2 linked regions of the Lepisosteus oculatus genome follow. The protein of the gene in region 1 interacts with the protein of each later gene in a pairwise test. Links are inferred from orthologs where the notes say so. Each region holds a gene or a part of one and is shown on either strand. Other genes may lie near its edges.

The links.
Region 2: the proteins of swsap1 (region 1) and zswim7 interact in binary tests that used the Homo sapiens proteins (3 or more experiments, as listed by UniProt). The link is inferred for Lepisosteus oculatus from reciprocal best matches to the Homo sapiens genes SWSAP1 and ZSWIM7.

Annotation. Positions count from the first base shown.
Region 1 is NC_090706.1:17,206,928-17,222,131, reverse strand, and holds swsap1 (ATPase SWSAP1), read right to left. Parts: upstream 2,869-15,204; 5' UTR 2,780-2,868; coding exon 2,504-2,779; intron 1,462-2,503; coding exon 943-1,461; 3' UTR 602-942; downstream 1-601. Other genes in the region: znf653 (zinc finger protein 653), read left to right, coding at 3,599-3,891, 4,714-4,754, 5,445-5,726, 5,843-6,402, 6,937-7,117, 7,917-8,010, 8,574-8,685, 10,396-10,510 and 2 more. UniProt on the Homo sapiens protein: ATPase which is preferentially stimulated by single-stranded DNA and is involved in homologous recombination repair (HRR). Has a DNA-binding activity which is independent of its ATPase activity.
Region 2 is NC_090721.1:4,206,734-4,222,141, reverse strand, and holds the start of zswim7 (zinc finger SWIM domain-containing protein 7), read right to left. Parts: upstream 7,511-15,408; 5' UTR 7,311-7,510; coding exon 7,268-7,310; intron 6,819-7,267; coding exon 6,732-6,818; intron 3,883-6,731; coding exon 3,861-3,882; intron 1-3,860. Other genes in the region: uncharacterized protein, read right to left, coding at 9,264-9,322, 10,152-10,184, 10,340-10,396, 10,866-10,910, 11,241-11,303, 11,600-11,626, 12,251-12,295, 12,573-12,604 and 4 more. UniProt on the Homo sapiens protein: Involved in early stages of the homologous recombination repair (HRR) pathway of double-stranded DNA breaks arising during DNA replication or induced by DNA-damaging agents. Required for meiotic progression, hence for fertility.

The sequences.
Region 1 (15,204 bases):
TCTATTTGAACCACAGTGAATCTCTGGGCCAGAGCTTATGCAGGTGTCAAGGAGTTAAGCCACGATTCCAGAGACTGACTGATGTCAGACCATGCTGATGTATGTTAAGTTCTATAATATATACAGGGTTAATCAAAATGTTGTCAACGAGTATAAATGTCAATTGTTTTACTAAGGTTTTGTTTTCTCCTCCACAGATGGTGAAGGATTGTAAGGTAACTGTTAAAAAACTCTGACCGTTAATTACATGGGTTACTGTGATAAAAAAGGTTTCAAACAAAAGCGTAAATATCAAAGTTGTCGACCGCATTTTGATTAACCCTGTATTTTCCTTCATCTTTCAGTTCAAGTATCTAGAAGCTCTTCATAAGAAAAAAATTCAACTTCAACAAGCTCGGGAGGACAGTGCTGAGGAAATACAGAGAGAACTATCAGGTGAGGCATCGCCCACAGAGCGCATACCGATCATTCTGTTAGAAATAAAGAAATGAAGCCCGACCCCCTCTGTGTGAATAACAGATGACTCAAGTACACTGTAAGAGTTCTTTTGGACCCGTATGGATCTGAAACTTTCCCAGCCTGAATGTACGACTTGGTTATTTCATACTGTGGCTTTTCCAGGATTATGGTCCAGAATTCCTAGCCTGGGAATCTGCGCAGGTGAGCCATTATAGGCTTCTATTTTCAGGTGATGGAAGAGAATAGCCAGGAAAGTTTGGAATGATCAATCAGGAGCTGGCTGCGAACAGGATGAGAGGAATGTGATTTTTCATATAAACCAACTTCTAAGTTTGTCTGTTGTTTTTGTGCTCGACTGCCCTGTTTCAATAGCCTGCCCACACACAACAGGACACAAAACCCATAACCTCCTCCAAAATCCAAAAGACATTTAGGCCAAATAAGTGAATAAATGTTTTGTGCATTTCCAGCCACAAGGGAATCTCATTCCTGGCTCTTTTCTGGGATTGGGGTAAACTCCATGGCTCCGCTTGGGGTATAGACCAGCTCCCACTGGCGTCCCAGTCCAGAGTCCCGTCCTTCCGTCTGCTGGAAACCGGAGAAATAAATCCGGCAAGCTCTTGTCCCTGCACAGCTGGCGTCTCTTCCCAGCGTGCACCTGACGGGGAAGTAGCGCTCGAAGACGGAGAGGACCGAATCGCTGCCCGACGCCTCGGCTCCGCGTTCCGGGTGGGTATCCAAGGACACGATGAGCTGGCACTCGGCGGGGGGGTCTCCGGGGGCCCCGGCGCGGGCCCGGCTCAGGAAGGTGGCGGTGTCGCACAGCAGGGCGGAGAGGCGCGCGGCCATCTGGTGCGCCTGCTCGCCCTCCCCTCCCCAGCGCAGGTAGCGCTCCAAGCCGTCGACGATGAGGAGGGAGGGCGGCGCGCCGGCTGCCTCGTGCAGGCACGCGACGTCCCGCAGAAGCTCCTCCGCCGTCCGGGGGTACACGAACTTGATTTTCTGCAAATGCATGAGGGGACATCATGAGATGAAAGCGCTAAATAAGTGTAAGAAATAATAATGGTAATAATAAGAAGAATAATTATTATTGTTGTGGTTAGGAAATGTAGGTCAGCACGGTAGAAGAGTGGTGAACACTGCTGCCAATAAAGCCCTGGCTTCAATTCTGGGGTGCTGTCTGTGTGGAGCTTGCATGTTCTCCCTGTGTTCATGTGGATTTCCTCCAGGTGCTCCAGTTTCCTCCCACAGTCCAAAACCATACTGATTTTTTTTTCAATCAAAATAAACTTTATTTCAAAGAAAACATCTCACAAGAAGTATAGATTCCAACACATTTCTCAGTCAGGTGTCCATTATCATTCATTGCAAGTGGATGAAGGGTCCAGATTTGCACAATGAAAGAGTCCCTCCTAGCCCTACCGTAAACCATACTGATAGGTTAAGTGACTTCTGGGAAAACTGGCCGTGGGGTGAGTGTGTATCTGTTTATGTCTGTGTGTGCCCTGAGACAGACTGGCGTCCCGTCCTGGGTGTATCCTGCCTTGTGCCCATCACTTGCCTGGATAGGTTCCAGCTCCCCCACAACCTTGAATTAGAGCAAGCAGTGAGAACATGGCTGGAAGGGTGACACAGGCGTGTACGTTTGGTGAGACTGAGCTATGACCCCAGAGGACAGAGACTGCTCTCATCTGCTTAGTTCTAGGATGGCTCCAAGGAGGCTGGAAACTGATGCCATCTGCTTTTCTGTCTCCAACGGCTTTTTATTAAAATATTTACTAGACTGAAGACAGAAATACCTATATTGAGTGATTTAAAGATACTTAATACACTGAAGACTGAAAACAGACTGAAGACAAAAAAGATGTAATAGACACAGTCTATCAATATTTACTACACGTTCTGCGTTCTGTAAAAATCAAAATAAATTTGAGAGTTCTGTTACAGACGTGGGTAAGAGCCGGTGTTAATCATTTCAATATCCTTGACTACACAGCGTCAAAGTGAAGTTTTATGCCCCCGTAGACATGTGCACGGTACCTACTTTCAGGCTAGCGGGGTCCAAGCCTGCCCGCGCTTCCATCAGCGGAGCAGGGAGGGTCTGGATCGGAGTGGGGCTCAGAAAGATGACTTTCCGCCCCAGTTCGGAAGCCGCCATCACCGCTGTTAGAAACAGAAGGCACGTCTTGCCACAACCCCGGCCCCCCAGCAGGATACAAGACAGTGAGCGGGCTTCTCCCTCAGGAGGAGAAAGAGAAGGAGACGACTCGCGTCCCCGAGGACTGTAGCGATCGAAGACCCAAGTCAAGAGTTCTGCCATATTGCCATTACCATGGAAACAAAGCCGACAAGGGAGTAACTTCCTGTCTCCGCTCGGTCCGAAAACAAACCCACACGTGAACTCTTCCCGCGCTGTGTCAGGCCCCGCCCCCGAGCTGTTATAGGGCGAGATGTGCGTATGTCAGGTGTCTTGAGTTCCCATTGGATAAAAGAAACGTAGGATTAAACCGCAGCACCTTTTACTTGAAGACATATTCACGACACCTTGATAACGGAGATTTTAAAGTGCAAGCTATTTTTGACATTTAAAAAAAATGCAGTTGTCTCGTTGATCTGTTGAATCTCTCTGGTTTGATTAAATGTAGCTCCTTGCTTAGGATTAAAAAATTAAATACTTAAAGTTATCCAGACAGACTGCTTTAAAAATATAATAAGAAGAAAAGTCGGTTTTGAACTTTTTGTTACTCTTAGCGTGTGCTTGCGTTAAAGATAAACGTCGAAGAAGAAACTAATGTTACAGCCTAACCTGGTACAAGGAGAAATAGCGTGGGTACAGCAATTCTAGAGCGAAATGATTCGATTAATCAAAAGAAAAAAACAGTGTGTGGCCTACAACAGTATTGTAGCGCTCTCGGCATTTGCCACTTTTAAAAACAGTGCCAGAGGAATTGGTTTTGTCCCATGCTGTTCTTTCAATTTTGTGATTACACTGAATATGTGTACTGAAATAAAGTAAAAAGAATAAATATATTGCCGCTATCCAATCATTTTTCTGCAAGCAGTGTTTCCGGTGAGGTCAAGTCGCATACCTTGACTATTTCCGGTAAGGTCAGAAACATACACACAGCTGTTGACCAAGATGGCGCACATGAGTGCCGAGGAAGAGACGTCTCTAGACCAGGAGGCTGGAGACCAAATTTCGGCGATTCTGCGGCGCTGTCGGGGACGTCCTCGCCTCACTGACACGGACCGAGCTAAGAGGCGATTGGAGTCCCGGAAAAAGTACGACGTCCGGCGAGTGTACCTCGGGGAGTCGCACAAACTGTGGAGTGAACTTCGGAAGCGGACCAGTTTAAGCGACGCCGGACTAGCCGAGTATTTAATCCTGCTCGACTCGATTTATGGCGAGAGGTACCAGCAGAAATACGGCGGGTAAGCCATTTACAAAAAATATTTTATTATTATTCTTGTGAGCAGAACATGCTTCATTTAAGGGTAAGCTTACTAAATGGTACACGACCAGAACTAGTGCAAACCTAATATTCAGTTTAATAACCCTGTGCTCTCTCGACCAGGTACTTTGGCTGCTAGCAATATGATAATTTATTTTTTCAATAAATTTTGTCTCATTATAGTCTTTTTTTCTTCATAGAGAAGTCTTCCCAATCAGTCAATTCTAATCTAACCTTAGTTGTTGTGACAGTGGTATTTTGTCCATCTGTGCTATTACTGTAGATGTCTTATTTATGTAAATGTCTTGGCTCAGATGTTATGTTGCAAAACACATGGATTTTTAGTTGATCTGAAGCGTAATCTAGTGATTTTCAGATTCCCCTACAAATGCACTGAAATATTTCGCCTAAATCCCTCATCACGATTGCCGAATTTTGACTCACCCAGGAAAAATTGCTCACTGATATCTGCATTTGTAACTTCTGCAGTACAGCTATAAATGTTCTGTAAAACATTGCTAGAGTGAGCCAAGTAATGTCCAAACTGCATTGCACGTTGAACCATTTCTAATTTTACAGAGTTTAATCTTATTCATTTTGCCTTGCTGATCAGTGTGGGTTTTCTTGTGGTATTTTAACACATTAGTCTGTTCAGACTGTTTTGTTGCATCAGATGTGAGAAAATGTCCTACTGACCTTACAGCAAGGGGATAGGAAAATGCAATGACCTCTTTGAATTATTTCAATTACTTACTGCTGTCTAAACCATAGCCTGTATCATAACCCTCTTCTTGTCTTTCAGAAAGAAGCTGAGTGCGGAGTTTTGTGTCAAACCAAAAAGGGGTTAGTAAAAACAGTTGGTAACAAGAGGTAGTTGAACTGTAGAAATGTGCTAAAGCCCGTTGCTGTTTTAATTTGATGTCTGCACGTATCCCATACTTTTCAGTAAATATTTTCTCGTTTTTCCAAGTAAAAGCAAACTCCTTTCAATGAGCACATTTCGGTGCTAAAATAGTTACTTTTTTTGTAACATGGTCTTGAAGCTTTTTAGATAATTTGAGTGGCTGAAGTGAGACAATAATAGAAGCCCTGTACAATTTGCACATCGTTCTTAGTATTATCAAGACACTCCTATTTAAAATAATATCTAAAATAAGCTACAAAGACCTATATTTAAGCTGTTTAAGATTTAAGCCCTCCAAACACCCTGCATCTAATCTTGTGACTCTTGAAGCATTAATCCATCCATCCATTTTCTAACCACTTTATACAATACAGGATCAATGAGTAGCAGGAGCCAATCCCAGCAAGCTCTGGTTGCAAGGCAGGGCACACCCTGGACGAGACACCAGTCCGTCGCAGGGCGGACACAGTAGCACACACTCGCACCAGGGCCAACTTTGCCAGAAGCCAGTTAACCAATCAGCGTGTCTTTGGATTGTGGGAGGAAAGGTGTTTGTGGGTAAGAAGTAGAGAGACCTAGTACTGACAGTGGTGCCGTGCGCTTTACTGTCTGTGCCTGTGTCCCCTCAGGGAAGAAGAGCAATGTGAACTGTCTGAGCAGTCTGGTCAGCTGGTACATGGAGCACCAGAAGACCTGCCCCCACGAGCCCCAGCTGCACGCCCTCGAGCCTGTGCTGGGCTTCTCCACCACGGCGGTGTGGCAGTGCCAGGCCGGCCACGGCTACATGCAGCACCTGGTCTCTCCCAGCAAGGATGCCAGCGAGTCGGAGAACGAGCCCGAGCCCGACACGCCGCCATGCGACAGGGTGGCACCCTGCACCAGGAGGAAAACGGCCTCTGCGTGCCACCTGGGTGAATGGCCGAACCGGTTAAAGCCGACGCCAAAAGCCAACAATAATCAACATTTCTGCGTGTACATCCTTCGTGGGTTGACTGTGACGGTTTCTTTCCCTTTTCTCCTGCCGCAGACGCCACGGAGACGGCCGAGGAGATGTCGGAGGGCCTGCAGGGCGGCGATGGCGAGCTGGCCAGAGCAGAGCCCATCGCGCAGGACAGTCAGGGGCCTCCGCCGGGCCATCCCGGCGAAGCCGACGCGGACTCCCCGGCGGCTAGGTCTCTGTGGAACATGGAGGTGGTCTTGGAGGAGGGGGAGGCCGTGCTGGAGGGCAACAAGGCCGGCGAGCCCCCTGGGCAGCCGGAAAATGCGGCGGCATCCTCGGAATCGGGTCCCGGAGCCCTGGGCCGGCATGCGGCGGGACCGGAGGAGGAGAAGGGAGGGGGCGCGTTGGCCGCCGAGACGGACTACGAGTGCATGGTGGTCACTGCCGCCCTCACGGACAGGGCAGTCAAAGACGGGCGGGTTGGGGTGGCGGAGGACTCCGGGCGGGATCCGTCCCACCCTGCGCCCCCTCCTCCCCCCACCATGCACATCACCGGCGGCGGGGAGCTGTACGACCAGCAGACTCTGCAGACCGTGGTGGCCAGCTGTCAGATCCCCGACGCCCAGGGTGCCATTGAGGGATCCCAGGTAGGACCCCCCACCCATGGCCTTCCCATTTCCCTCAATCAGAGCTGGATCCACTGAAACGAGGCAACTCGAAACGTCTTGGCCTCCTCTTGTTCCGGAGCTCATAGTCGACACATCTTCTTTACTGGCTCGCTCCCTCTTCTGATTGCATGCCTGCTGTGGAATGTAAGAAAGGATACAAACAGGAGAGCTTTAGCCCACTTGTTTCTGGTTTGCTGATTGATATGAGGATCTCATGCATGCTTTTCTTCTAGGTTCCCTGGCAGTGTGCTGTAATAACACTACTGGCTATCTTATATTGCCCAGATTCCTATAATAATCCCTGTTTAAGCCATAAGCCTATGTTCTTTGATTTAATCAGTGGTCTCCTTGATTCACTGTTGGTCCTAAAATATCCTTCTTTTTAAGCTCAGTATTTTTCTGGGTTTTGTAACTGTTTGTACCAGTCTTGGACTGCTGATCCGTCCCTCCCACCTGTTTCTACGGGGAGGGGGAGTGGTGACTCTCAGTCAGTTTCCTTGTTTCTCCTGGCAGGTGATCATCATCACAGGGCCCAGCTATGAGGCCCTGACCACAGAGGGCCTGCAGCTGAACGTGGGCGAGAGCGTGGGGGAAGAGATGACCTGCACGGTCATCGAGGGGGTGGCGTATAACCAGGTCTGCGATTCTGGGCTCGGGCACAGGGGCGTCGTCCAGAGCTTGGACACTGCTAGAGGTCAGTCTTTGGCGGTTGTCACCTTGCAGCTCCTTTGTGTGTTTATGTAGATGAGATCTTAATCTTTGCTGCCTGTGTGCCTAGCTGCAGGTGTTTCAGTTCACGGTGTTTGTGTATTGAAGGCCAGTGTGCAAAGAGCCATTCTATCTTTAAATGAGATGTTTAACCTGCTAATGTGAGTAGCCTAGGCAGAAAGAACATAGAATTAGTAAAACTATAATGGGATACAGAAAAGGTGAACAAACAATGAATGTATTGGGAGAAATCATATGAGCTGTTAATTTATCCTCGTGATGGGTGGGTTCAGATCTAAATTCTGCAGTTTTTTATCAACAGCTGGTCTGAGAGTAGTCTGTAGACTATATAATCCCTGCTGCACAGATCTGGTTAGTGGATTCTCTTTATCAGAGCCTTTTAACAAACCTGGAGGAAAATCCAGTTAAAATAGAGAGGATATAGAAACAGTCTACCCACCCTTATTGAGATTTCAGCTTTTGTAGATGTAAAGGCTGAAATCAAGACAAATCATTTCAGACCTTTTTTCACCTTTAATTAGTTCTCGTAACCAACAATATTCAAGCGACAAATTAAAAAAAACTTTCAATGCCTTGGTTACATAACTGTGCCCATCCTTTTAACCTCACATCTTATTTTTTAGCAAACCCAAGCTAATGAATTTCTGAAAACGGTTGTCTGTCTGTGCCTGTTTCTTAAAACTCCAAAATCTTTTTGGCGACGCTGCTGGACTTGTGTGGTTATGACGGAGGGGGGAGTAAAAATGTGGCCTTGGCGCTTGCAGCTGTCGGCAGCAGGCAGGAGGTGCACAGTAACCTGGAGCTGGAGGGCCTGGGCGTGCCGGCTGAGGAGAAGGAGATCCAGAGTGGGCTTCAGAGGTGGGTAACGCTGTTTCTCTGATGTGGATGAAATCTATGCCCCGGTTTCTTTCAAGAAGTGGCTGATTGTTAAAGACCCTCAGATCGCTTTGCCAATGGCACCCCAACAAACCATATTTCTAGTTTAGAGATGAGCGACAAGGCAGGGGCCTCTGGGTGACCCCAGCTCAGGGCTGCATGTCTCTCTGGGATATCGACTGTGCGCAGGAAATCAATTAAGAAAATGGCTTTTGGACAGTGCCAGGGCAATCTCGTGCCAGGGATCAAGAGTGAAGCAGACATGCTTTTTAAATAGGCTGTTATTCTTCTCCATCTGGGTCCAGAGAGAATGAGTCTGGCTTCTCCTTACTCTTTGATTTTTGTCCGACATAAATATATGACCTATTTAGCTTTTTCAAAGGCAGGGTATTTTTTTGATCCGCCATCTTGATGGAAACGCTCAAGGGTGCTGGGGTTGCCCGGCAGGAGACAGGGGATTCGGGTGGCGCGTGTGCCTCGGGGGGTGGCTTGTGTCTTGGCCTGTGGAAGTGGTATGACCTTGTTCCCTGTGCGGTTTGCTACAGGTCCAAGAGGAGCCGGCGGGGGCCCGTGATCGAGGCGGACGGGATGCTGAAGATGTTCCACTGTCCGTATGAGGGCTGCAGCCAGGTGTACGTGGCCATCAGTAGCTTCCAGGTGAGGAAAGTGAAGGCGCATGCACTTCCATCGGGCTGCCTGTCACTCCCCCTGGGTAAGGGGGAACCTTATTTTACGCACAAGTCTGTGATGCAAAATTACAGTTTATAATTAGTTGTTTCATGGGGGTTATAATTCATAATAATTCCTTACACTTAGTAGTGCTTTTCTGGACACTCCACAAAAAAGTGCTTTAGAGGTACTCCACTCCACCACCACCACCAGGATGATGCGAGGGCAGCCATAGTTCTTCAGTCTTCTCGCCACACACCCGATATTACTGGGAAGGAGAGCAGAGTGATGGAACCAGTTAATTGATGGGGATTATTAGGAGGCCATGATTGGTAAAGGCCAGGGGGTAATTTGGCCAGGGCACCAGGGTAACACCCCTGATCTTTTCTGTAGGATTTTTAATGACCACTGAGAGTCAGGACCTCAATTTCATGTCTCATCCAAAGGATGGTGCTTTTTATTTTTTACACTGTTGTGTCCCCGTCACTATACTGGGGCATTAGGTCCCACACAGACCGCAGGGTGAGCACCCCCTGCTGGCCCCACTAATACCTCTTCCAGCAGCAGCCTTAATTGGTCCCAGGAGGTCTCCCATCCAGGTACTGACCAGGCTCACACCTTGCTGAACTACAAAGGGCTGCCAGTTATGAGTTGCAGGGTGATATAGCTGCTGGCTGCTGGGTTATATCACTATGTGGTTTTAATTGCTGTTTTTTATGGCTGAATCTTCTCTAAAAACAAGTCTGTGGTGGCTCTTGATTGGGGGGGGAGAGCAGGGTGAGCCCTGTAATCTCAGTGTCGTTAGTTCCAACTTCATGTCACAAGTAGATTCCTGACCGGGATGCCACAAGCAGCAGCTTGAGAGTTTGAGCACTTCTGGGATAGGACTGGGTTCAGGCAGAAGATGGTTACGGTCAATTGTTTGAAAGAGATATTGCACTGGGAAAGAAAGATTTCCTGTGTCTATTAGTATTTCACCTGGGGACACAGAGGTGTCTCCCAAATGGGAGTAGTGTGAACCCACAGTGAAGGGGGTGAGGAACAATCCATAATACACATTGAAGTAGTTCAGGTGGGGAGCTGCGTCAGCTTGCCTAGGCTGCTGTGTGAGGCACCTGAAGAAGGATCCGCAGCCGAAACGTTGTTTTCTTTCTTCTCTTTTCAGTATGGAATAAACCTATTACTTGTTCCATAATACACATTGCTTTCTTTGCCACCTTCTGTTTATAAGGTGATTCGATTTGCCCCCAATTAATTTGTTACTTAATTTGACTAGTTTTTCAAGCCTGTTGCAATCAGTGGTACTGATATTACCAAACCAGCATGTGAGACAGTATGTTAATAACACTTGCAATAAAAGACTTTATTTAACAGTGTTGAGGTGGTTCTATCTGCCTTGAAATGGCTTAGTTTCCTTGGAAAAAAGAATGTTGAAAGTCTGTGTCAAACATAAAGGCAAATACATCCACTATTGAGCTGAGGGTATGTTAGTGCCTCCGTGCTCTTTTTCTATAGAGAGGTTTGAGAAATAAACCTGTTTTAAAAACTACACTGAACTGCGTTGTCAACAACAGGAACTGTATATAAAACTAGAACTTTCACCCAGGCACCCATTTATAAGTGACAGACCCTCCAGAAGCAGCTTCCAGTGTCCATACTGGACGTCTGACCCACTTCCTGTACCCTCCTCCCTTTCAGAACCACGTCAATCTGGTCCACAGGAAGGGCCGGACGAAGGTCTGCCCGCACCCTGGCTGTGGGAAGAAGTTCTACCTCTCCAATCACCTGCACCGCCACATGATCATTCACTCAGGTAACCCCAAGAGCACCCGCACAGAGGCATTCATTACAGTGCCCTCGGCGTGGGTGTGTCCTGACGTTTCTGGGGTTTGTTCCCAATCCCTCCAACCCTTAGTGGGAAATCGATTCCTTTTGTGTTTTTTGTCATCTAAACCCTGACCCTTGTGTTTGCACTCATGTTTTTGTCTCGCTGCTGGTCCTATAGTAGTAATCTGTATTGAATGTTAATAACCTTTCAGTGTTTTAAATATTTCTGTCACGTACCCAGTCAAGCAGTGCAGACTAGAGAGATTCAATTCCTTTAATCTGTGTGTTCCAGCCATTTCCTTAAGACCAGGAACAGCCATCCTTTCTCTTCATTGATCTGATGTTTAACTTCTGTGGAACTTTGAAGAAGTCTTAATGAGATTCTTGGATGGCTAAATTGCTATCTTTCAGTGATGTCAGATCTCGCAAGCCTATTCTGAACCTTTTTTTTTATGGTTCGGATCTTAGGCAAGCTTCCTGGTGTTGCCAATCAGTGGGGACAAACAAGAAATGAAGAATAAAATGCAAAAATCTATTCCATGTTAAAATCAGGTCTTGTAGTTCCTTGTGTAGTACAGGTATATGAGTTCCTGTAAAGATGCAGTCCTGCAGGTTTTATGGGTAAACTGAAAGGGCAACTGCAACACTATTTTAATTGTTGTGGGTTAGAAAGAATCAGAAGTTACTGTGTACATTTTACTTTTATTGAAGTTTGAAATGCACTCATCACATGTTAAACCTCCAATTTACATCACAAAATAGACCAAATTTCCAGGTATGCACAGCATCATATTGCTGTAATTGTCTGCAAATTCAGAAATGAGACAACGAAACATTCGGTGAGATGATGCAGCTCTATTACATTGTAAACAAGCAGGCTTGTTAATCCATCTCTTTGAATCCAATACAGATATTACTCTTGATTTTGGGATGGTTTTGCCAGCAAAATACTACTTGTTAACTCTGCATACAGATCAAGCTGGAAGCTTTCTGCAGTGAAATGACTGGTACGCAACCTGTACTTAATTCGCTTGTACATCCCATTACATTAGTCATTATAGTTACTAGTGAGCAGGAAGGGCTGGTTTAAGTCACAGTTGTCACCGACCCTCACTTTTGCCCGTGGTGAGACCAGGGGTTTGTGATGCAATGGCAATCTTGCAGTACTTTCACAAAGTTCATGGTTTTCGTGCTTAATTAAAAATGTGTAAGTTCATTAATTTATTTTGTTACTGAGATTTAATAACTGGTCTGAGGAATTGGAACTGCAATTCCCCTTCAAGTGCGGGATCTGTATAGCATGTTAATTCCTCCTTATTAATGCAACTGATCGATCCAATGACATCGCTGACGTCAGAGCTGAGCTGGCACAAGAACCAGAAGACACTGTGGCTCTCCAGGACCAGAGTACAATCAGATTATGGTCATGTGGCATCTGGTAACAGTGACAGCATGCCCCTCCTCCTCCTCCCCCCCCAGGTGTGCGGGATTTCATCTGTGAGACCTGTGGCAAGTCCTTCAAGCGAAAAAACCACCTGGAGGTTCACCGCCGCACACACACTGGAGAGACGCCGCTGCAGTGAGTATCCCTCAATTCCCGAAACCCCAGCAGCATGCACACTCCATAGATCAAAACCCGGAAAGACTGCTTCAGCTGATATCCTGTCAGTCTTTAAATTTAAAAGTTGTTGCAGTTAGCCACTTTATCCAGTTGAGCTGAAACAGACATAAGCCTTCTCTGTAAAAGGCAGTGTTCTATGTTATGCCTGCAAAATAATTGCAATGGAAAAAAATCTTAAAGCAGGAAAAATCATCATCTTAGTAATTTGTCCATGTATTTTTATTGTTTTTCACACCAGCAAAAATACATGCTGCATATTGCATATTAAACTAATGTCAGAGGTCATGTAGATTGTTGGTACAGTGTATTATGCAGGAAGAATTAATGAGAAAGAAAAATACAGAATTCCCATCCCCTTCCCACATTTCTCCCAAATCTTCACTTGCAAAAAGGAGTTGAAGGACAGAAGACACAAAAAATCAAAAAAGATCATCATAAAGTTAATTACACTAACTCTCTAGGTATTAAAAAAAAAAGTGGAAGGCCAGTCCTAACGGATATCATCTCTGTGGCCAGTTAGTGACAGATTAAGATCTAGGGTGTAGAAGGTAAGCTCAAAGTCTCAAAATATTTCACTAATGTTTGCCAAGCTTTTAAAAATCTGATTTTTTAAAATTATGCATCATATTTCTGATCCATTGAACAAATGTGAGTGAGCCAACTTGCTTCCAGTTAAAAATGATAAGGTGATTGAATTTTGGATATGGTTATTCAGGTGGCACACTAAGCATATTAAAGACTGTGAATTCCAGTCAAGTCTTCTGTTGACAGTGATGAAGCCGTTCTGAGAGTCCCAGGAGGTTTGATTTTCATTTTGGAATCTTAACTAGAAACTCATTACCTGACCTTTAATAAAGTATTATCTATCTGTCTAACAGGGAGAGCTGTATTTAGTCTGTAACCATGTTAGCTGCTCATATTGCACACAGACTGTTGTCACTTCACCTATAGTGTAGCTCATTAAGGCAACTCTGTACCCCCAAAGGTCTCAAAACTTTCCGATCTGTTAGCTGGAAAGGTTTTGAATACTTACGCAGTTGTGACTTTTCAAGTTTTTCATATCGATGTATGTATATTAATTATACATAATTAAGATCTATTTACTTTTGTTTTTTGTTTCAAATCTGAGCGTATATAGCTGTTATTACAAAGGTCTTGTAGTTGCATTACAAAGCACATTCCGCCTTGTAGCGATCATGACCCCTGACGGCTCGCTCTGTCCCCCCCCCCCCCCCCCCCTCGCCCAGGTGTGAAATCTGTGGGTACCAGTGCCGGCAGCGGGCCTCCCTCAACTGGCACATGAAGAAGCACACCCCCGAGGTGCAGTACAACTTCACCTGCGAGCACTGCGGCAAGAGGTTCGAGAAGCTGGAGAGCGTCAAGTTCCACAAGCTCAAGAGCCACCCGGAGAAGCAGGCGGCGTGAACGTGGAGGGGGTGAACTTCCTGTCCCAACCCAGCAAGGAAGCTGTGTCCTGTAGGCTCTCGGCCAGCGCCCTGAAAATGAGGTGCTCTGTGGTGACTGGGCCTGATTGCTCTCTGGCACTGGCGATCTTCCTGCGCAGTGCGTTTCCTCTCCTTGCGGTGCTTTTGGAAAGTCCTCTCCAGAGCCCATAGTGCTTAAATCTGTGGATGCTTTTTTTACACAACATCTAGTGAAGGAGGCCGGGGATGGTGGTGTAGGGCACAGTGATATGTTGGGTTTTACGCCAAGGAGAGGGTAGCACGTTCTGGGTTTGAAGTGACACTCCAGACCTTCTTATGTGTTTTGAGACCTTTTTTGGTTTGAGGTGAAGTGATTGTTTGTAGGGGTCTCATCCCCGAGACAGAACGTATGGAAATTTCCAATGCACTAATGCACAGATGCCTAACTAGGCTGTAATATTACTGGTCCATCTTAAAATGGCTGCAGGCCTGTGTGGAATTCTAGTTAGTTTCCAAGGGGCATGTGGTAGCTCTGCTTTTTGTAAAAGCAGACAATCAGGGAGCGAGGCAGATTGATGCTGCAGAAGGCACATCATATTTGCAGAAGTGCTCCAGGACAACCAATTTCACTGATGATTCGAAAAGACTCATTTTAACACAGCAGGACTCTGCTAACTGGTTTCCTGCCAGAGTCCCAAATCCTTATTGGATTGGGCCAGAGATGAGAAGACTTCCCATTTACCTGCATTGATCTCCTCAACATGTCTTGCACCAGGACGTCCCATGTCTGCTTCTCAAAGGCATAGTAGATCTGGCAGGTTTCGTACAAATCCTCACTAAATCAACAGCTTCAGTCCAGGCCTTGTGTACCTCTAAGGTGTCCTGCTTCTTTTAAAGCACCGGTACCTGAAGAACTAGCTGAAGTTATTCTATAGGACCAGTGAAGCCAATAATGAGCTGATTTTAGGCGATTAAGAGCTGGGTTGAACAGGATGGGAGACCCCTGATGTAAAGAACACTTTCCAATCTGACTGCTGTGCTGCTCCTGAAGCCTGTACTTTGGGATCCCCGCCTTGGACACTCGAGAGTGATCTGGATTTTAATCATGGAAAGATGAACTGGTCTGGGAGGCGAACATTACAGTTTGGCCAGGTTAGTTTATCAGTAGAAGGCCTCTTTCAAGGAGCTGCAAAAATGTATGTAATATTTTAAGATCTGAGCTTAACTGGAGTTTTTAAGTTTTGCCTACCCTCTTTATACCCCCGTTCCCCGCACGCATACTGACTATTTGTTTAAGAGCTCAACTTTCTGGCAGTGGTTCCTGCACAGAGTGGAGGGGGGGTGAGGATCTGTAGAGGCGGCCTGTCAGAGCCTCTGTTATTTCTCCATGCGGTCCACGGGGGAGGGTTACATGTCTCTGGGAAAGCCTGCAGGTACTGGGGGATGTCTCTGTCCAGCTGTGGGGACCCTGGCTGACTCGGCTCCCAGTTGTGCTGTGCCGCCGCCGCCACCACCAGGAGAGTCCTGGTTGTAGCAGGCAGGTGACAGGACCCTGGCTCGAACCCGTGACATTTTGGTGCCGTGGAGCCCAACCTCCAGTCTGAGGGAGCACCTGTACTGCCTGGTTTCTGGTTG
Region 2 (15,408 bases), on another chromosome or scaffold:
ACAAATAAAGGTTCACTGGAAAGCTATTCCTAAAGCACTCCACCGACAAAAGAGAGTTGTCCCTCCCTTTTCCACGGCAGGAGCCAAGGAAAACGATCAAATATGAAAACAAAAGAACTGCATAGCTTCAATTAACTGGACATCTGGTCTTGCGGGTTGAATTCTGACCACTAGGCCCATTAAAATCAAGGAAATTCAAAAATGAGTGGCATGAGTAATCCCAGCTGACAGAAGCAAATGGAAAAAAAATTAAAAATTGATAACAAACAACCGGCACTAAAAACCTGGAAACAAACCGAAGGGCTTTTTACATATTTCGATAAAGTAAATGTGGACTCACCAAAATAACACATCATTCTAAATTCATCATGGGAATTTACAACTACCCTCTGAGGAGGAGCATAATGACTAATTGCAGCTCTCAGAAGACACTCTACACTTCAGCTACCACTTTCCACCTTCTGTCCAGCTGCAGTGGATATGGCATCAGTGTCCCATGAGTGCATCAAGCCTTTTTCTTGGGCGTCCTCCAAACACAATGTGCCAAGTCCGATGAGGCTGACGACCACTGCGGTGTTGTTCTGACAGTGCACCGCTCCGGACATCGCCAGCTGTGAATGCGCTTTGAAATCCATACCCCGGGTTCTGGATTTACAATCAGTTCTGGTGTGGGCAAATACTTAAAAAAAAAAAGACAGGTCTACATCCCATCAACCCTTCAAAAAACTGCTATAGCTCCGCCGGGCTGAAATTTGCACACATACAGTACATGTAGCTGTTCTGGTGCCAGAACCCATCACTTCTCTATAATAGTGCTGGATCTACAAAAGACAAGGCTCTGCTGCAAGAAGCACAGTTGAGCACAAAGAGTCAGAGACGCTTCTTTCCACAGAAACTGCCCAGCCAGGCAGACAGAGGCCGAGCAAGGACCTAGGATCCATTATCGGTCAGCGATAAAATGAGCAAACTGGGCTGAACTGCCTCCTCTCATTTGTGACCCTTCTCATGGTTTAAATAAGGGACCAACTCCAGCTTTCCCAAAGCCTTGCCACTCTCATTCCACACTGGCACTCAAACTGTTGATCTTAATCACTCAAACATAGTGATTCCAAAACATCATTTAGACTACTGTGGGCTGCACTGAAACATTATCTGTAACTTAAGGGACCCAAGCCAAGTCTTGCTCCAGTGATGACGTCCACTACACGAGGTGTGCAACCCAATCATCGAGCACACTCACTCCCCCTCTGTCTCCATACAGTAGGTGTGTGCTCCAGTGTTAGCTCAAAATAGAGTGTTTGCGTGGAGCAAATACAGTGAAACTGACAAATCTGGTAAGGAAGGGTCACTGCAATAACAATTTGGCGGGATACAAAAGAATGAGCAACAGAGGTCTGTCTTCTAAGCCAAACAGTTCTGAAACTCTAAAGGAACGACCAGATGTTAAATAGATGCTGGCGAGTAAAAAAAAAAGGACTGTTCGTATGAAGAGTCTTCATCCGTTTATTTGCCCCCATTTCATTTTATTTTTCTAAAACACTTTTACTTTTTATTTACTTCTCGGCTCAGAAGTACACTGCTTTTAGTGTCCCTTAGAAGCACGCACGCAAAACATCATTTAGACTACTGTGGGCTGCACTGAAACATTATCTGTAACTTAAGGCTTTTGTGTTATTATTCATCACAGATAAAGCAACAGCCCTCCTACTGCCACGTATTGGCCATACACAGTAAGAAATAGATCAAGTGTTTCCAAAGGCATATAGTTATTGTTTGATGTTCTGTAATAAGGGAAACCCCAATTTGTTTTCAAACATTTCACAAGAACAGTTGTTGTCATCTACCATTAAGTAAACTCTTGAAATATGTTAAGAAGTGTGGAAATCTGGATAAACCCTATCTGATTTGCACATGCGGCTGGTGTTGAGTCTAATTTTATCATAATTATGGCAAATTCTGCATTCCAATGGAAGATTTAATCTATGTATTTATATATTTTAAACTAAAAACAGTCTAACTGGTTAATTTAAACACAACTGTCTTAAATTTTGTTTCTTTGAATATAGAATCTTAGCAGTCATAAATTGCAGAGATGCAAGAGAGACGCTGATATTCTTATAATGTAGACCAGGCAACATTTGAGAGACAGAGCTTTATAAAGATTGGTGGGGTTCAAAACTAGTGAGCAGAAATATCTGAATTGAAATTAATCTCTAGGCAAAGACTTGGAAATGCTCAATTTACCTCCATTGTAATGAAAAGATACCAAAAATCCCCCTCAAAGCCCCTGAATTTTTTTAAGTCATGAGTTCAAAGTTTGCTTTTGCAGCTTACTGCATTAATCACATGTGCATTTAAATGTTTATCACCTTAAATATAAGATTGACAGTAGAAACAAATAAATACTGAGTAAAGTATAATTTTCATACCATGACTATCATAGTTATGGGGTCCTTCAGTGAGTAATCAAGAAACATAAACAGCTAGATCTGCAGATTTTGGCAAACACATAAGGATGACTAATTAAGTGAGGCTGGAGCCTACTTCTGGGACAAGAAGCAATGAAGTGTCCAGACTGGGATTTATCTGGGAACAAGAAGTTGGCGTCTGACTAGAGTAACAAGAAAGCAGGACAGTAAAATCCTTTATATACTGGGAGTCTTTCAGCTTGTTATTTTAGACTTGCAAAAGCATATTTTGTGACAAATCAAACTTTCTGATTGAAAAGTCACATTAAAACACCCACAGGGTAGGGAGTGTAATCAAATACAGATGACACGACTTTTTAAAGCATGTTTAACTGTAGCTCAAAAATGGGGGGGAAAACTAAAAGGCTCGAAGAAAAACATATAGCAGGATCCACTTCAGCTCCACATCACCAAAGGATCCTTTCATATAGTTTGTGTACCATTAATTAACAGGACTAAACTCTAATTCTTAGTGCACGGAGCAGGAAGTGGACCACGGGTATCTTATTGGCAGATAGCACAGCAGTCTCTTTTTCTAATGTGCCACTTGGACAGGTCTAAAAAGATGTACTGCTGACCTTCTCCATAGTGCCCTCTCTATATCTCCACAAAGCCAGTTTCAGCAGATGGCTGAGATTTAGTGGAATATGGAAGAGGGACTGTTTACTTCATTTTAATCTTGCATTTGTTTTTGCTTTGTTCAGCTGTGAACATGCATTGAAGGATTTTTGTGTGCTTACATACAGAAAAAAAATATAATAGAACTGCATACAATCATAACCCTGTATTGTATCAAAAAATGATGAATAAATACATTGAAAAGAATGAATAAAAAGGCTTTTCTTAAGTTATTCCAGCTTCCACCCACATTTTAAAGACATGCCAGCTAGGTGTACTGGGGTCTGCAAAGTGTTCCTCTGTGTTTGTGCTTGTGTTTGGGTCCCGCAACAGGCTGGCATCTCATCAGGGTCAGAGTCCCAGCTTGTGCCCTGCGCTTCTGGGATAATCTCTAGATTACTGCCACACTTTTCAGGAATAAGCAGCTTTCCAGTAATGGACAGATGAATAAAGCTATCCCTATAGCAGGGTGCCAGTAATTGTGCACACAGATGAAACACAAGAACACTGTAAATTGGACACAGAGAGAGTTGAACAGCTGTGTTACAGCTGAAACTTTATGAAGTCCTTAGTAAAAATTATATTGCTTATTATTTTAAATAGCAAAACAGGTCTCCTGTTAAGGCACCTGTTAGAAATAGGTATGTGATGCATAATACTACAGTCAAAATGTACATATGCAATATGCACTATACATCTCTAATTATAACATGTTAGAAACAAGTTGTTGTAAACACAAAAGTTATTAAATGGTTTAAGAAAAGCCATACTCACACCAAAAGGAGTTCATCTGGAACTGGAAAAAATAAAGCACAAAAGCAGAGTTAGACTTTAATATGTATAAAACACTGTTTACTATTTTACACTGCAAAATGATGAGACATTACACTGCAAAAATAAATTAAGTCTATATGATCAACCCAAGCAGATTAACCTTTGGAATTTCTGCTGATTATTACTGGATATGTATATATTTACCATCTCTATTGACTATTTTGTGAAGAAACATAAGGTTTAGAATTTGAATGTAGTTTTAATTGCAACACATTCCTGCTATATTGTTTGGAAAAGAAAGAAGCAGGCACATAAAAAACTCTCTAGTGTTCAAGATAAGAAAACACTTATACTATTTTTTCATGAGAAAGTTGGTCATAAGAATATTGCTTCTCCAGCCTTGCGTTTAACAAGACCACATAGGTCACTTCTTAGGAAACAAAATCAGTGGCTCATCAACAAACAGTCTGTGGCTCAATTTCAATTCATTCCAGCTTTGACACATCAGGCAGTTCTAGGAATAACAGAATATGTAAGTGATAAAATGCTGGGATTAAGATATCTGTATGCTGCTTGTTAAGGCTCGGTCTCCAGGATGAGGGAGATAAACGGTCTCATAAATTTTTCTTTTGCCGCTGTTGATATAATTTAATCTAGGAGAACAGGCACTCAAAAAGCGTATTCTTATTCCGCACAAAAAAATGTTTTAAAAACCTGACTAATTATGGAGAATGAAGGCAATCTATAATATGTCCAACTAAATTGTGCACCAGTTCAAAAGTACTGACATCAACTAAGCAGATACCAGCAGGGGAAGTCACATCAATCAGCGTAAAAATCTGTCAGTGTTAAGAATGCAAAGCTGAAAAAATAGCAAGGTTTCCTGTTTATCACTGCCACAATTGTGTTTTTTTCGTTAGAAGACGGGGTTTGGCAGTACCAGCACTCGGGTTGCAAAAGGAAAAGTGTTTCTTCAGCCTGAATACACTGAAGGCTGCTGTGAACGCTTGCTGCAGACTTAACGGCTTTCTTGTCACCGAAATCCCCCATCGTGACTGAGAAGGAAAAGGCAGAAAAAGGAAACTGTCTCTAGACATCGCTCCGTTTGTGTCCTTTTACATGTGTTTTGTCTGCAGCTTTAGAAGCCTTTAAAAAAAGAAACCTATCAATCATTTAAATGTTGCTGAACCGCTAAAATAACTGCGCCGGAACAAGAAATGCAGAGCTTTGTGAATACGTTCTACAAAGGGTAATTCCCAGAACTGGAAATCTCACAGGCCCTGCAGTTTCATCAATCCACGGGAGTCTGTGCACAAAATTACACACATCTGCCTGGTCCTTTTCTTTTTCAATGGCTGTGGGCCTTTCCCACAAGAGGAAACCTCATCAAATGTTTTTTTAGGCTCTAAATGAAATTCACATGGAGGTCCCAGAACTGCAAACGGACTCTGTGAAGACCGCTCTGGCACAGCACCTCACAAACTGTAAAATCTGAATTCCAGGCACGCAAAATTCCTCAGTGGGAGAACGTTAAAAAAAACTAAGACTCGAAAACCAGAAGCTGTCCCATCACTGTGAACCACTGTCTAGATGAACATTCAAAAGGGGAAGACAAGACTAAAATGCAGATCACGTAAAAAACAGTTTTAGCATAAATCATGCTGCTTTTAATGTCATAATGCCCCCCCCCCCCAAAATGGAATAAAAGAACACAGAAAGAAAACAATACTTTTTAGACCAACTACACCCTGTCACCCATCATCTCAAATATTTTCTTATTTAAAGTCTGATACGTTGCTTTTTACGTAAGAACACACAACAATTTCTGACAAGTATACGGTTTTGAAAAGGTTGTGGTCCACAGACAGGAATAGTTTTCTCTCTCGTCTACAATCTATCAAACGCTCAACCAACGAATTGAACAACAGCGACCTCTGCTGGAAAGCATAGGCATATCAATTCAGTGCACTGTAAATCCAGTCGATTTTTTAATCACAGTCCGACTGGGCTCCGTTTGACTTCTTTGTGCGTGTTAAAAAGTATGAGAGGACCTGAAAATTGCTAAAACCTTCTGTGTTTAGTTTGTATCACCAACATAAAAAAACAAAAACGTCTCAATGTCCACTGACCAGATTCCCTCCTGGACTTTACAAATCATGGCCTTTCAATAATCCCCATCTATGAACTGGTTTTATAGAAAAGCACTAGATTAATAATAATATTATTATTATTATTATTATTATTATTATAACACCTTACACTTATATAGCGCTTTTCTGGACACTCCACTCAAAGCACTTTACAGGTAATGGGGATCCCCTCCATCATCACCAATGTGCAGCCCCACCTGGATGATGTGACGGCAGCCATAGTGCACCAGTACTCTCCCCACACAGCAGCTCTCAGTGGAGAGGAGAACAGAGTAATGAAGCCAATTCAGAGATGGGGATTATTAGGAGGCCATGACTGGTAAGGGTCAATGGGAAGTTTGGCCAGGACGCCGGGGTTACACCCCTACTCTTTTCAAGAAACGCCCTGGGATTTTTAATGACCACAGAGAGTCAGGACCTAAGTTTTACGTCTCAACCGAAGGACAGCATAGTATAGTATCCTCATCATCACTATACTGGGGCATTAGAACCCACATGGACTGCAGGGTGAGCGCCCCCTGCTGGCCCCACTATCACCTCTTCCAGCAGCAGCCTTAGTTTTTCCCAGGAGGTCTCCCATCCAGGTACTGACCAGGCTCACACCTGCTTATCTTCAGTGGGTTGCCAGTTGTGAGTTGCAGAATGCTATGGCTGCTGGCATATAAGTGTATGGATTATTTATTATTTATTTAAACACATGACAGTGTGACACTGTACTTACTTTGAGATGTCTCCTGGTAAGCTTTCCTGATGTCTTTCAGAACTTCTTCAGCCACATCAGGCAAAACTGTGGACATGTTTCCAGACCCTGCAGAAATACAAAGAATAATAAATATCTCACAGAAAGCAAGGTATTAAACCAAATATTGGAAGTGCTTCTGTAGAAATTATTTTGCTTAATTACAAACTTTGACATGCATAATTCTACAGGTTTAGAGCCTAAATGTGTATTAAAAAGTTATTTAAAATTAGGGTAAATTGCACTTACGATACGATACAGTATTTATATATTTTGGAAACTTTGTTTTTACTGTCATTACACTTCACACTCAGATACCTGCATAACCATTCATTTAATAATAAATAACACTGTTTGAGTTACAGTTTGTTTCGTTAGCAAACCTTGCTCAAAATCATCATTACCACCAATCAACTTAAAACGATGTAATCGATATACTGTGGAAAGTCGCATGTTTGCACTGATTGTGACACCTGCATCCACTACCCAGTAACTGTCTCCTTCATGCTACTACTTACGTGATGCAGATTCACAACAGAAGACAATCCTGCAGCAGGACATTCAGATAATTTGCAGTAAAATTTACAGTTTCCGGGCTAACAAGTTACATATTTTGGTGCAAACTACCGTTAAGAAGAAAAAAAAACATTGAGAAGCTTACACAATTTCTTGTTGATGATAAAAACTAAAGGTTTTAACAAATTTAATGTAGTCACACGCTTTAACAATGGTGCCCTTTAATAACAGCAATAGACGTTTTCGCTAACCAATTCGTGAACAACCGTGCTCAATTCGATAACCAAGTACATAAACGATATTTTTAACATGAAAACAAAAAAATTAAGTTAAGCAAGAACGCTCTCGCGTTGCTTGCGTATTATGTTTTCTTTCAAACTACTAAAAATGAAAAGCTCATAACTAGTTACGTCTACTAAAAGTACACGTTTTTTTCAGTAGCTTTTCATTCATGTATTTTCATTAGTATTAATTTCTCTCAAAATTAAAAAGAACTCAAAAACATGAACTTACCGGGGAAACGAGCTCGTTTTCAGCGCCTAACGACGTACAAGCGCAAGGAATCCTGGTCATTGTAGTTCAGATTGTAACGTCCCTTGCGAGACTCCCTCTGAGAAAACTACATCCCCCGTCGACAATCTCGTTCCCCGGAAAACATCGTTTTCCAGTCGTTACAAGTGGTCGGAAGTTCAACATGTGATGCGTTTGATAATGTCTAGCTGGCTATCTTACGCATTGACACAAGACGTCAAACAACGTAATGTGCTTGCTGTTGTATTACTGAATATATTCACATTCTGTCTTCGCTAAGTATCTACATTAATTTAAAACTAATAAAAACTTGATTAACCTTAGACTGTAAATCTGTAATATCTGCTGCTTGTTTATACGGTCATTACACTTCACACTCAAGATATCTGCATAACCATTCATTTAATAAGGGGTGCAAAGGCATACAAATGTTCTGGTCACTGACAGGAGTCCAGAATACATCCATTCAAACACGTTTTGTGTTTATTCTGACTAAGAACCTTTGTGCTCTTGTGAGGATCATAGTGCATCTTGCAGGAATGTTCTGAAACGGTGAAGAGTCCTACAGAAAGACTGAGTTGGAGTGAAATACCAATGACAGCCTGCTAGTGAAGCCGTTTCCTGTACTCATCTTATTGGTGCACTAGGGAAGAAACCTGCTTGACGCTGAGTACATGCTGATCCATTCCGGACCTGCTGTATGGGTCCTGACAGAAGCTCAACATCAGATTTGAACAGTACAGCCCCTTGCATGTCCCTGTCACCGAACAGATACAATTGAAATGTTTGGAAACCAGCTAGAAGCCCTTTTATAAAGATCACATCAGATCAAATTAATTGGCATAGTCCGGGTTCTGTTAAACGCTCAGTGGATTTACAGACAGACAAACGTCTCAGACTGAAACTGACACAACAGCATTTCATCTGCAACTATAGGTATTGATGTCTTTCATTCACCTAAAAAGCAAAGGCAGACACAAACAAACTATGCAAGGAAAGAAGTAACTTCAAATTATTTATTTTTTCAAAAAATGTTTCCGATAACATTTTAGAGGCCAACTTTTACAAATAGATTGTGTTGAAAAAAACAAAACTGTTAAGTCCCAGTCCCTTCCACAAGCCTTCCCTTTAAGAACATGTTTTTACCCATATTAAGGTATTAAAGGTTACAAAACATAATTTATGAATTGTCTATAATCTGTATTATGTGTAAAATGTACTTCATTAATAAAAACATTAAGAGTATCAATAAGACGATACTATCTAAACCCTGCTGATAGTGCATTCACGAAAGGCAGATTGTATAGGCTATAGTAATACTTGATGTTTCAACAGCTTCTTTTACATTCACAAATTGTCTGCAGCCCATAAACTGCTACCGAGCACAAACACTTGCATCAAACACGTTGAATGTGACTTCAGCCTGAATATAAACCATTAAATATCTCCTTTTTTATTCCTTCATTCCTATAGCTGGTTCAGATGTTCACGGCTGTTGGCATAAATTGGGTTTTCATATTTTACACCTGTAAGGGATAAAATAGAAACTGTTAACCTGGAACTGTAAGCTGTTACATCAGTTGCACACCATGTAACCATACCTGAATTTAATGACAAGGAGGTAGCAAAGTAACTCTTGAACTAGGTTATCAAATAAAATAGAAATAAAACAGGTATATGTTTATTCTGTTGTTGTTAGTCTTTAAAATCTAAGAGCTAACTACTCCACAAGACACAGTATAGTTCTCACAAAATAAAGAACCCAAGGCCAGATGATAGATAAACAGATCAAATGTGGTACAGACAATTGCAAGGTGTTTATGAGGCGGTGATCTCTGCAGCACTAGAACACTAGTGTGTCCAACAACAGCCTGCAGAACGCACAGGGCCAAGCAGTCACAAGGTGCTTTTGCTGATGCTTCCTTCATGTTCAGGCTGGTGCTGTACTGTCACACATTTACTACTGCTATGGCATTTTATGTACCAGGTTTCTACGTGCTGTTACTTATTTGCATCAGCTATGAGTGGGCCAGTCACCACATCCTAAGGTGCCCACTCTCAGTGAGACATCGTCTGCAGGATGTGTGGGGGGGAGGGGCCAAAGTCAGCTCAGTGGTGCAAATGTCACAGTCCGGTGCCAGAACATCCGTGCATCTAGATCACGGTCTTCTCTCGGCACCACAGAGTGTTTGGACACTGGCAGCTGAAACAGGGATTCTCCATCCGACTTCCTGCCAGGGGTCACGGCAACCTGGAGTCTATCCCAGAAGCACGAGCGGGGCAACTGGGAAAACATGATCCTTTGCATGAAAAAAAAAACAAGACACACAAATTCCCCCCCCAAACAGGACCTACTTTGTTCTCTTCTCTTCTTGACCCCCTCGCTTTCTGTAACACAAAAACACAAGCATGAGGCTTTCTTTTGCTCCGGCTGCTGTTACTGAGGAAACGGAATACATTTCTGAATTTCTTTCAGCAGCTTCCAGTTGACAACACAATCAAGTCATCAGTACGACAGCGCACAAACAGATCTCAGCACCTACTTTTCTTCTCCCTTGCTCTCTGGGTGTCCATGCTTTCGGAGAGCTCTCGTTGGTTGACTGTAATAAAAACAAAGACGAAAAGCAAGGTGAGGAAGCGTTTTTTAAGGAATGAAGACATTCTAAATTAACTAAGCTACCTATAATGAGTGGCTTTATATCATCTCTGCATGTGCCCCCTTTCTTAGGGGGTTAATTCACACTGAATTTTCACCCTCCCCCACTCATTCTCCATTAAGGTATGTGTTCCACTTCCTATATGATTTGGAGGAAACAATGTTTTAGGGCCGACCCAGTGACTAACTCTCCAGGGATTCAATCATATTCATTTGCAGGCTCAGGGTATACCCCACCACTCCCTACAACAGATAGGGGGTTCACAGGTCTGGGCCTGGAGACTCGCAGAGCTGCTGCTTTTCAATCCAGCCCAACAGCATTGCTCAACCGAAGCTCTAATTGATGTTAACACACACGCTGAATTTCAATGATCTAAAACTGCTCACATGCAGAGAAGAAGAACTGATCATACCATAATCGGGTTTTGTTGATTTTGTTTTCTTTACTCCGCCAAAGCCTGTAGGAAAATTAAAGACAGTTGAAAGGAATTGATTAATGACCGCCGGGAAAGGCCACAGGTGATGGCCATGGAAAACACCTTCTTTGATCTCTGATCCTTCTCGAGACCTCTCGTACACTCAACAAAACAAAAAACAGAAACATGCATGTTATTATGGATATTATTAACATGCATTAAAATGATATACTGTATATTCAAATAATCCCATGCTTGCAAGTCTTGTCAGTATACCTCGGAATTGTGGTAATAATAATGCAGTAAAAAGGAAACCTAATCCCACCATTGATTATGAAATTAAAATATAAAACTGAAGTACTGGTGCCTTACTCTGAGTAATGACTGGATCTCTTCTCACATGCTCCCTGTGTTCTGGGTCATGAAGGCTGTTTTCTTAATAATGGGGAAAAGAATGGAATTCACTGGTAAAGCAGTTAAAAACAAAAACAGTAAAAGCTTCCGTTGCTGTGTTTTTAGTTATTTGCCTTGTGCATTTCCTGCAATGCATTAAACTGGTGAAAACAATGTTTTTTCACATAATATACAGTAAACACAAGGAATTCAGGTTCTATTTTAGTCCCATAATAAACTATATTGCACTCAGCCACTCCCTGACAACCTAGATATTTGCATGCCAGTGAACACTTCTCAATCACAGAAACACACAAATACTGTACATTTAGACTTACCATAGATAGTCACATCCATGGTGTTTTCTGGAACAAGAGGCAAAAGAGCAGCCATGAAAGAGACATTAAAGGAGATTAAGAATCACTGTTTTGTAAATGAAGCTACTGGAACTCAGACATATAAAACGGAGAGCAGTAAAAGCAGGCAACTATGTAGTTTAGAGACTGCATAAGGACAAACACTGCCTTGCATGTGGCTCTATTCAGACAGAACCCAGAAAAGAGAAATAGAAAACCTTTGCCCTCACTCTCCTTTTTTGCTCATTTTAAATGTCACTGAAATAAAAGAGGAGTAATACTACTGATTCTTGTGAGGTTCAAGGGCTTCCAAACTGATTTGAGGCCGTTCGGAAGAGACTACCACAAGGCGGAGACAGAAATCTTAACAACGGTAAGAAAGTGTTGTTTTCTGTGGTTATTGCACAAGCTACTTTGGGACTGTGAGCTGGGAACATGCGGCTTGAGCGAAAGAAGGACTTTATAGATTTCTTCTAAGGACTTTGCACCCTCTGGTTTAAAAATGCAGTGATGAGAGCACTTGTGAGCTGAGAAACATTATATCCACTGTCATGTTACAGGTCCCCACAGTACTTCTAAATGCACTGTAAATAAAACATTTACTTTAGAACAAAAATAATCTGTAGATCCTACCTTTATGAAAGCTCATGTTTCCATAAATAGTCTCCAATGACTGACCTAAAAGTTTAAAACCAACGGTAACTCCTTTTTTCATTTTTGCCTTTGGATGCTATGCTACCAACACCTTCATAAAGGCTTCGTTACACAATGTAATATACAGAGCCCTGAATCTCCTGAATCTCTCAGAGGAAAGACTGTGGGCTTTAAGTATTTTAACTTGCATGACATCTCATAGTAGCACTTAATGATTTAATAATTTTTTTTTATTTAATAACTCGTGAATTTCACAATACGAGGATACATTTCTCCAGAGTTTGAGACAGACAGCCATTACCTGCTCTGCTGTTCTTACCGTGACCAAGATTCCTAGGATATGAATCAAAAGAAAACATATGAAGTTTACGTCTGTAGTTGAAGTAAAAGAAAGGTACAACACTGTAGTGTTAACAACAGCTTCAAGCCCTTTAAAGCCCTGGGTTTACCTTAACAACAAGAGAACTACCACCACCAGCAACAACAATACAAGAACAGGATGACCTGCTAATCCAACCATTCTTCTGAAGGTACACACCACAACAACAGCTTGGCTGTTTTCTGCAGAGACTGCTTTTTCATGGGTAGGTCTTACGGGAGAATACTGATATAACAACAAGAAAGCGATCTGAAAATAAACTGCGCAGGTACAACAAATTACTGGTACATACTTTGACGGGTCAGCCAGGCGTCTGCAACCTTTAACAGAGAATGAAAGTACAATAATCCAGTTAGGCAGCTGAACACAGAGCCATGCTCAAAGCATGAAAACTCCAGGCAGGATTCTAAAGTCACACCTACATGAAGGAGGTACACCTATATTAAATCATACGTACATGACGTCCCAAGCTCATGGGGTAAATTGGCTGTATGGTGTGATTTAGCCTTCAGGTCTACTGTACCAATGGCTCTATGTCCCTTAAAAGCCCTGGTCACATCAGAAACCAAGGAAATGTTTCAAAATGTGGTGGAAACAAAGGACTAGAAGAGATTGTGATACTGATGTATCCTGTCCCCCTTCACTATCTCAGGTATTGTCTTAGTTTGTCTTTCAGAAAAGGGAGGCCTGGGAGGCCCCAGTATGAGGCAGGCTTCAGCTCCAGTGGTCTTAGTCCACTGGGACTCTGCTTCTAAGCCTTTCAGAGAGAAATAAGTCATTTCAAAGTGAACAGACATCAGGAGGAAGAAATGCTCACCTCTTCGCCGCAGACACAAAACGAAAAAGGGAAGGAGTATGATGACCCCCAGTCCTCCTGCTGAGCCGATGACGTACCAGCTCTCCCAAACCGAGCTCCCAGAACCTAGAAAAACTATATTGGACTGACATTTCATCCACTGACACCGGACTGACTTCAAACGCAGGGTAAGAAGCACTGGAGGAAAAGCACAACACTTCTTGCACCTAGTTACACTGTTTTGTTCACACCAAGATAACTCTTGCGCCTGATGTTTGGTAAGACTACACTTCAACTGAAAAGAAACTGAATTAAGGATTTTATAGGCTATGAAATTTATTTAAAACTGCATTATCTGTATGGCAAAGCACCTGTTTATTGACTACTCTTGACTCATGTGTTTTGCCTCAACTAACAGGACTAAAAAGGTGATGAGAAGTTGGGTCACAAAAATTCCCCTTAGCTTGTCTTTCAGCTCACTAAGGAGTTCTGATGGATCTGTTGTATTTACCTGGGCTGAACTCAATCCCCTGAATTTCCAAGCAACTGCGACCAGCTAAGAACTTGCAGTGATATGTGCCCATATCATGCGGCTGGAGCTGTTCGATGCGGATGGAGAAGTTGCCCTTCTCTGACAGGCCCGGGAAGACCCTGAGTCTGCCCTTCTTGTTCTCCAAGAAGCGCTCGCGTCCCGACGACAAGATTTGAACCAGACTGGTCTCGGAATTGGAGTTATTGAAGGTCCACACTACTTCCCAATCCTTGGTCTTGGACTGGTTTAGCAAGCTGGTGCTGAAGTTGCACGGAACCAGAATTCCCGAATCCAAGGCGGCTTCAACTTTGGTGACCTTCTGGGGTTTCACTTCTTCACAGCCGTCTTGTGCTGGAAGGACGAGATGGGGAGACAGGAGAAAGGAGCATGGTTTTGCCATTCCTGTGCAGATCAGGATAATGCCATAACCACCAGGCTGTTAGCGATCTCCCCAAATTCATGTTTGTGCTTAGAAAAGAAAAAACCCCAAGGGCGTCTGTTTCTCAGGCCTGTGAGCTATAAACCATACGCAGCGGTTTTCAAAAAAAATATCCAAGAACACATATTTGTAGGTGAAAACACACAAAAAAAATCTGATTCACAGCAGCTACCTTATCAAATAACCAAAAAACTGTATCCTGTATACCGGTAAAACAAAAACATGCTAAGTATAAACTGAAAACAAACAGATGCCGGATACCCATAATCCTGTTATTATTAATAGAACAGAGATCATCATCATGTCCCAACTTGCATTTTGCCGTTATTCTTAGAATTATATTTTAAAAAACAATGAAATGTTTTGTGCAGAAACACCCCTTTTCGCAAGACGTACAGAAAAACCACAGTTCACTGTTCTGCGCCATCTCAAACGTCTGTTCAAAGCAACTGCTTCAAGCCCTTTGTTGACATAGAAGCTAAACTCACTCTTCGTTTATTACACTTTAATGCCGGCCAAAATGGCTATGGTTTTAACAACAGAAACCATCAGATGCTAACCAATTAAAATTAAACCTATAACCCATTTTGTCCACACAACATTTGACAATCATGGTCTCCACATCTGATTCTTGCATGTAGATACTGTACATTTTCCTTCCCCTCGTGTACTCGGCAGTTTAAACAAAAGCTTTGAAAGTTCAAAAGACCAACTGCTTACCTGTGGCAAGTACTAAAGCCCAGTTCACAAATACCCAGAAAGTGCAAGGTTTAGTGTTATCCAGCAACATCTCTCAACAAAATCTGATGAAAGCTTGTGCACCAAGCTAAAACAAATGTAGAGCAGAGCTCAGGTCACTGCAGACAGAGCAGAAACCACAGTTTATCACACTACAGAAGACGAAGGAAAGACCATATTTTGGTCATTTCCTGATCACAACTTGCCTTTCCACTCTCCACGTTGCAAGTATTAGTTTCCGCCATTACTTTTT